Linked DNA regions of Xenopus tropicalis. The protein of the gene in region 1 interacts with the protein of each later gene in a pairwise test. Links are inferred from orthologs where the notes say so. Each region holds a gene or a part of one and is shown on either strand. Other genes may lie near its edges. The genes, in order: rapgef4 and swap70.

Region 1 (4,315 bases):
AAATCAGCAAGGTGATCAATCTGCTATTCCTATGCACGGTAATCTACTGGAAAAAGGGCTAGGTTGAAAGTCCTTTGCACAGGGTCAAAAAATCCCAGAACGAGTCCTTTTCCCGTTGAATCCAGTAGAGTGTTGCAGTTCTGCCAGTTCATGCATTTACCAGCAGGTTCCTTGTTGTATGGCTAAATCATAAGATCTTCTGCTTGTCCAAGCCATCCGAGTATCCTGTCCTGAGCTCCAGTTCCTGTTTCCAAGTTCTTGCTTCTAAGTTCCTGTTTATAAGAATAAAAGACCCGGGCCTAGGGTGGCACAAATTCAGGGGTGGCATGCCGGAGATCTCTATGCGCCCTAAGCTCCAGATTTAGGAGCATGCATGCAGTCCTGTGGGAGGGGTGGGGAGCAGCTGAGGATGCCGGCCTCTGGGCACCAGGAAGAGAAATCCAGTCCTGTTTATCTGCAACCCTCCACAACCTTGTGTCTTTTTTATAGACTTTGTTTTTTCTGTCTGCTCCTTACATTTCAACTAGGGTCCCTGTGATTCGATTTCTCATTATTAAACCATTGCTCAATGCAATTCATGTTAGTCCTCACAACTAGCTTAAAGGGCACCTGTCACCCAGAAATAGTTTCCCACACCAGAGGTTGGGGGAAACAATAGTTAGGGAAAAAAAATATTGCCCCCATCAGTGCTAGGCCACCTGCATGGGGAGGGCAGCCATGTTGTATAGCATGCATATGCATAACAAGTGAGTCTCCCTGCTCGCTCATTATGTGTAAGCATCTAAAGTAAACATGGTGGATGCACCTCAAAAGTTTATGTCACGCACATCCGCATAATGAGTGATTTGTGGCATATATATATATATATACAGTATATATATATATATACACATACATACCCACAAAGGAAAATGAGTTATTTTGCTCTTTGTGCCTTACAGTCATTAATCATAATATTAAAGCCATCTTTCCTGCTAGTATGCTATTTATTCTATTCATAATTAAATTAAACCTGCACACACTATATATATATATACATATATATATATAGCGAGAGAGAGCTGTACCCCTGGGGAGAGAGCACAGGCAGGGAATTAATGACTCGCTGAGCTCCAACAGGATGTGAATGTGCAGCACCAAATTGATCCGCCTGCCAGCTAAGCCAATAAAGCAAACCTATTTTGATATTTCTACTGGAAAAAGATTGTACCATATGAGTTACTGTAGCCAGTGCTTGCAGCACCTCAGCCCATCCCCCTGCCTTTTGCCTCTGTCTCCCTGTAGAAGAGTTGGAGCGGAGGCACTGGAGGAGGGCTGCAGCGGTGCTCGCATTGTGCTCTTGCAGTGTCAGTGGCATCCTGCCTGGGATGTGGTACATGTGATACAGCATCAGCGCTGCAGCCTTCTTCCTGGGAACTGATTGCTGGCTGCCTGGCACTCAGCTCTCTTAGTTTGGAAACTGACCCTCCCTCAGCACTTTGGGAGCAGAGCAGGATAATAGATATATTTTTATTTTCCCTTTTCCTTACAAGACTGAGCTGGCAGAGCTCCCATCATGGTGGCTGCACACACTGCCCATTCTACCTCCTCTGCTGAATGGATTGCCTGCTTAGATAAAAGGTACTCTCCCCTGCCAGACCCTGCATGCAGTGTGCGAGTGTGTGTACGAGTGTGTGTTTGTGCATGCTAATCAGCCTGCCGCAGGGAAGAATGCAACAAGGCAGCTCTTACATACAAGCATGCATTGTGTTCCATTCATTTTCAGTTAATGAATGGGGTATATGAAAATACTCAGTATGTATAACTCAGTATGTATAACCCTCCATTGTCACTCTCCTGTCTGCTTGTTCCTGGGGGCTGAGCTTTGCATTATTCATGCATGGAAAATCAATATATTCTTCATGAGAAATCTTTTGTAAGAGGAGACGAGCAGGGTCTAACATGCTCCATTCTGGCCTCTAGGCAGACAGTGTCAGACTGTCAGGGATGCTGGGTGTTAGTCTTGTTCTATGATATTGTGCCTGAGACCTAAAAAATCTTCTTGAGCAATATAAATGGGTACCACCCCCCAGCAGTTTAAAATAGTGGTATTGGAACTACTGCTCACAGTATATTTATAAAATAGACTGTGTGTTCTTGCAGTTGCATGCACTGCACACTCTATTCCTCAACCAACCCACCGGAGTCATTCTGCTTGGCCTAAGATCTCAGTTATTGGGCATTTGTCATTATCTCCAATATTTTTCTGATGAAGCCCAGATTTGGTCTAGAAGGTCATCTACTTGATCCAGCATTTACATATATCATTTTTAGAAATAGGAGATACTGACACCATTTCAAAAACCATATGTAGCTCATAATTTATTTTGTATTTAATTTCCAAAAACGAAAGACATAAAGCACCCAGGGCCGGAACTAGGGGTAGGCAAAAGAGGCACATGCCTAGGGCACAACAATAGAGGGGGGTAGTGCCAGGAAGGTACCTCTCCTGCCCACCACTAATACATGCTCTCTTGCCTCTCTCCCGCGATGCACTTTCCCCTGCGACATCACTGGGCATGCACGTGGTTCTTTACGCACACATGTGGGGGGGAAGGTGCAGGGGCCCGGTTGACTTGGCCTGTCCCTGAGGCTACCCCTGTGGTGGGTCAAATCAGACTGATCGGATTATTTGCCCCAGGGTCAATGATTGGATAATAATATAGATTATGCAGGCCCCTGGCGGATGGGGTTGTCACCCAATTGTATTTTCAAACCTGCCAGATAGATATCTGCCCCATCTGACTTGCCATATTATAACATTGAGATTGCCATAAGTAAAACCCATTATGGTGATCTGGCTAAGAGAATGAAGGCATTTTACAGTTATTAAGCCAGATCGCCACGAGTATTGGGTTTTAGCTGCAGCGATCTTAATGTTATAATATGACATGTCAATTTCGGGAGGTTTGTTGCCCGTGGTAGCGCAGACTTAATGCAGACGAACAAGTACTTTCAACTTAGGGCAGAGATCCCCAACCTTTTATACCCGTGAGCAACATTAAATGGAAAAAGTGCTGGGGAGCAACACAAGCATAAACAAAAGATCATGGGGGTGCAAATATGAGCTATAATTGGCTATTTGGCAGCCCCTATGTGGACTGGCAGCCTATAGAAGGCTCTGTTAGACTTTTACTTTTCTGTTTTATGCAATCAACACTTGCCTCCAAGCCAGAAATTAAAAAATAAACACCTACTTTGAGGTCACTGGGAGCAACATCCAAGGAGTTGGTGCACAACATGTTGCTCACTGACTAAGGGTGATGGCACATGGTAAGATTTGTTGCCCACGGTTAAATCTCCATCACCATAAGGGACAGTAAGGAGGTTATGTAATAAAAGGTACAAAGTTTGCCCAAGACCAGTAACCCATAGCAACCAATCAGCAGGTAGAATTTACTGGTCACCTGTTTAAAAAAAACATCCTATTGGTTGCTAGGGTTACTGCTCCTGGGCAATCTGCAGTAGGGCAGGTTCACTGCGGCCAACAAATGTCATCTGCCATGGCGCTAAGTCAGTAATTCTTACATCCTTTCATGCAGGGTTTGGTGGCCTCCAGTCACAGAGCATCATAATCCAATTGCCTAGGCCATAAAGCTGGTTCCTACATCTAGTTCTGGCCCTGCCTCTTTATTAATTTGTATGGATCTGGAAACATCCAGGGGTAATGCAAAGGGTTGCCACCTTTTTCTGTGACTAATACCAGCCTTCAGGTTGGGGGGGTGGAATGTGATGTAATTTGGGGAGGGGCTATGACATAAGAGGTGGGGAATGGGAGGGCTGGGTGATGAAAGGTTGGTTGGGCCAGTTAATGGGTGGGAAATGGACAGATTGGGCAGGGCTATTGGCAGAGGTAGGTCCATAGTTATAAAGGGTGATTGGCAGCAGAGAGGGTCAGGGAACAGAAGGATTTATATGACTTTACAAATTTCAATTGGAAATTTACCAGCTAGTCTAGTCAAATACCATCCAGGTGGCAACTCTAGTTGTGCAGAGAGCAGCTCCAAATTATTATGATTTCAGGACAGATATAATTCCTTATCACATTGGGGTCCAAATTAAGGAAAGTCCCAGGTATATGGGGCATATCTGTGGTGAAAAGTATGTCGTTTGTGGGCACAAAGCAGCCCTGTCCTTTTATTGTGAAAAAAGAAGTATTGGTATATTTTAAGTATTGCAGCTTTTAGGTGATTAAGATAAGAGGCCTGTCACTGTGGAGAGATATTTTGCTGCAAGACTTTTAGATATGCAGATATGATGTTGATGCTTCTCTGGA
Region 2 (3,823 bases), on another chromosome or scaffold:
ACCCTGATGCAGGGATTTTGACATCATACCTCCAAGACACCGTCACTGAGGTTGCTTCTAGCCAACCGGGCCTGCCCAGCACATGTTTTACAAGACTCCAAGCATGATAGGGAGCCTAACTGATTAAGTAATGAACCTTGTTTTGAAGAACCTGCTCTCAGTAAAGAGGGCTGACTCTGGTGGTCTATGGTTCTGAACACTGAGTAAGTCTATGGAGAGACATGTGTCTTCTCTATGATAAGTTGTAGAATAACTCCTGTAGAACCAGACCTAGTCATGTTAGATATGTGAATACCCCTATGATTAGAAAATGAAAATGTTTTGAAGAACTTGCTCTCAATAAAGAGGGCTGACACTGGGGGTCCATGGCTCTTAACACTGGAGAAGTCTATGGTAAGACATATAGTACAACTCATGTAGAGCTCATGTAGAACCAGACCTAGCCATGCACCAGGGACTGTACTGTTGAATACCTAGATACCCCTATGGGTAGAAAACGAGAATGCTTTGATGCTTTGAAGAACTTGCTCTCAATAAAGAGGGCTGACACTGGTGGTACATGGCTCTGAAAACTGGACAAGTCTATGGAAAGACATGTAGGACAACTTATGTAGAGCTCATGTAGAACCAGACCGAGTCATGCACCAGGGGCTTTACTGTTGAATACCTAGATACCCCTATGGGCTGACACTGGTGGTTTATGGCTCTGAATACTGGACAGGTCTATGGGAAGATATGAGTCTTCTCTATGATATAACTCATGTAGAACCAGGCCTAGTCATGCACCAGGGACTGTACTGTTGAATACCTAGATACCCCTATGGGTAGAAAACGAGAATGCTTTGATGCTTTGAAGAACTTGCTCTCAATAAAGAGGGCTGACACTTGTGGTCCATGGCTCTGAATACTGGACAAGTCTATGGAAAGACATGTGTCTTCTCTATCATAAAAGATGTAGGACAACTCATGTAGAACCAGACCTAGTCGTGCACCAGGGTTTGTACTGTTGAATACCTAGATACCCCTATGGGTAGAAAACGAGAATGCTTTGATGCTTTGAAAAACTTGCACTCAATAAAGAGGGCTGACACTGGTGGTCCATGGCTCTGAATACTGGACAATCTATGTGTCATCTCTACGATAAAAGATGTAGGATACCTTCTGTAGAACCAGACCTAGTTGCACACCAGGGGCTGTAACTGTTAGATACCTGGATACCCCTATGGATAGAAAATAAGTCCTGGACCCATCATAGAAACCTGAGAACTATCACCCTAGAATGCCATGGATGTTAATTATCAGAAGACATGGACTTCCCCGGCCAACCTGTTCCAATACCTGGTTTTACCACTCACCTTGAATCCATTCTTGCTTCTTCTTTTTATCCGATGCACTGATCTCGTAACTTTTCTCCAGGCATTTCACCACAAAGAGACACTTTCTCCCCTCTTTGTCTGGCAACGACTAGGTAAAATATAAGAGACATGAATTGAAGAGGGTTATTCCGGTCTTTCTGGTTTCCATGGGGGCCAAATCTGGCCCTGATGGTTCCTTTGTTGCTATGTGGAATACGTTGGTAAGGTCAGAAGAGATGGGCTGGGTGTAACGAGACATCACAATACCCTCCATGGCTCCTTTGTCCAACAAAAAGAGAGGGAGTTGATGGAAACCCAAGTATTATATGATAGAAACGCCCAATCAGAGTGTGCAGGAAGCTCTCGGCCTCCCCGGACTGTGATTAAAGCGTTCATCAGTTCATCTGAATAATCCATGAGAAGATGAAAAAGGATAATGGGACGTTAACGTGACACAAGAGACCTGACAGTTATTGAAGCCGGAGCCAAAGACATAAATAGAGATGTTTAAAGAGATTATACATTATTAATCCAACCCAAGCCGGGGGGGGGGGGGCAGTGAGAACCTAGAGCCCCCAAACCAGATCTGGTTCCACAGGCACATACTGAAATAGAAAGCATTTAGGTTCCCATTGGGCAGTTGCCCCGACTATAATACCCTTAATAACTGGTGCAGAAGAATTATCATTTATAGGATGTAAATAGAGATGGGAAAAGTAGTGCAGGGTGGGGCAATAGGGCAACATTCAGATACAAGGGCAAGAAGGAAACAGTAGAACAAGTAGGGCAAGATGGAGACACTAAGGCATGATGAGAACAGTAGGACAATGTAGCCATGTCTGGACTGGGAGTCCAAATAAACTGTGGCATTCCAAGTACCCAGAGGCCCAAACAGCCCCCCTCCAGCCCAATAAATAGTGACTTTCTGTAGCATCTTACAGCAGCCCCTATGGAATTTGCCAGAACCCATAAATCGATAGTCCGGGCCTGGTGACAGTAGGACAGGTTTGGGATATATGGTAACACTAGAACAAGATGGCTACAGTAAAGATGATGACAATGGGGCAAGATAGGAAGAGTAGAACAGTGTTGCTTCATAATAGGTACAGCAGAACAAGATGGCCGCAGTAGATGGAGACAGTAGGACATGATAGAGATAGAGACAGTAGGGCAAGATGGAGACAGTAGGGCAAGATGGAGACAGTAGGGCAAGATGGTGACAGTAGGGCAGGATGGAGACAGTAGGACAAGATGGAGACAGTAGGGCAAGATGGAGACAGTAGGGCAAGATGGAGACAGTAGGGCAAGATGGAGACAGTAGGGCAAGATAGAGACAGTAGGGCAAGATGGTGACAGTAGGGCAGGATGGAGACAGTAGGGCAAGATGGAGACAGTAGGGCAAGATGGAGACAGTAGGACAAGATGGAGACAGTAGGGCAAGATGGAGACAGTAGGGCAAGATAGAGACAGTAGGGCAAGATGGAGACAGTAGGACAAGATGGAGACAATAGGGCAAGATGGAGACAGTAGGGCAAGATGGAGACAATAGGGCAAGATGGAGACAGTAGGGCAAGATGGAGACAGTAGGACAAGATGGAGACAGTAGGGCAAGATGGAGACAGTAGGGCAAGATGGTGACAGTAGGGCAGGATGGAGACAGTAGGACAAGATGGAGACAGTAGGGCACGATGGAAACAGTAGAATGAGACACCACCAGTAGGGAAAAAATTATAACAGTAGGGCAAAGCAACAGTAGGTCGGGGGAGGTAAATCGAATGTGCCATTGTCATGTGACCAGCCTTACAGCCAATGAGATTAATTTATATTAAACATCATCCTTCCCTGTGAGCATAGTTACCTCCACCAAGCAGTTTTCATCCAGAATAATTTCCCCCTTTTTGTCCTTCAGATCCTCGCTGCAATAGTACGTTACTATGTTTGGCTTCAGCACGAACCAGCGCTCGGTCCAGTTCTTCCTCTTGTGGCCTTTCTTCAACAAATATCCCTGTGGCGGGGAAAAAAATGAAGGTGGAATAAAATCATGGACGACGCCCTTTCCAGTTGCCCTCATTTGTGGCATGAAGCCCTTGCATTGTGGGAAATGGGTCTGGTTGCTAAGGGGTACGGCACTGGCGATACGTTGAATTGATCAGAACCAGTTTGTCCAGCGTTGGTGGCCATTTCCACGGGTATAAACCCACAGGGCAGATATTGACCCCCTACACAAGCCAAAACATGGACAAGCTGCTGGCAACTCTATAGTCCAACCTCAACGCTCTATTTATTTGCCTATAGCAGGGCCCCCATAAGTACAGATATGGGAAAATCTTGGTATTTCAGTCATTTAGTCATAGTTCCAAGAATGTCTAGGGTAGAAAATCCATATTTACCCCAAATCTCACCCTAAGTGGCCTTCAAGGTGGGCTTCAGTCAACTGGAAGGTCCAAGGTGTTGCGGTTTATGTTTGG

Evidence for each region.
Region 2: the proteins of rapgef4 (region 1) and swap70 interact in a two-hybrid assay, tested with the Homo sapiens proteins (2 studies listed by BioGRID and IntAct). The link is inferred for Xenopus tropicalis from reciprocal best matches to the Homo sapiens genes RAPGEF4 and SWAP70.

The regions. Positions count from the first base shown.
Region 1 is NC_030685.2:67,123,506-67,127,820, reverse strand, and holds the start of rapgef4 (rap guanine nucleotide exchange factor 4), read left to right. Parts: upstream 1-1,271; 5' UTR 1,272-1,555; coding exon 1,556-1,620; intron 1,621-4,315.
Region 2 is NC_030680.2:7,061,360-7,065,182, reverse strand, and holds part of swap70 (switch-associated protein 70), read right to left. Parts: intron 3,361-3,823; coding exon 3,214-3,360; intron 1,465-3,213; coding exon 1,356-1,464; intron 1-1,355.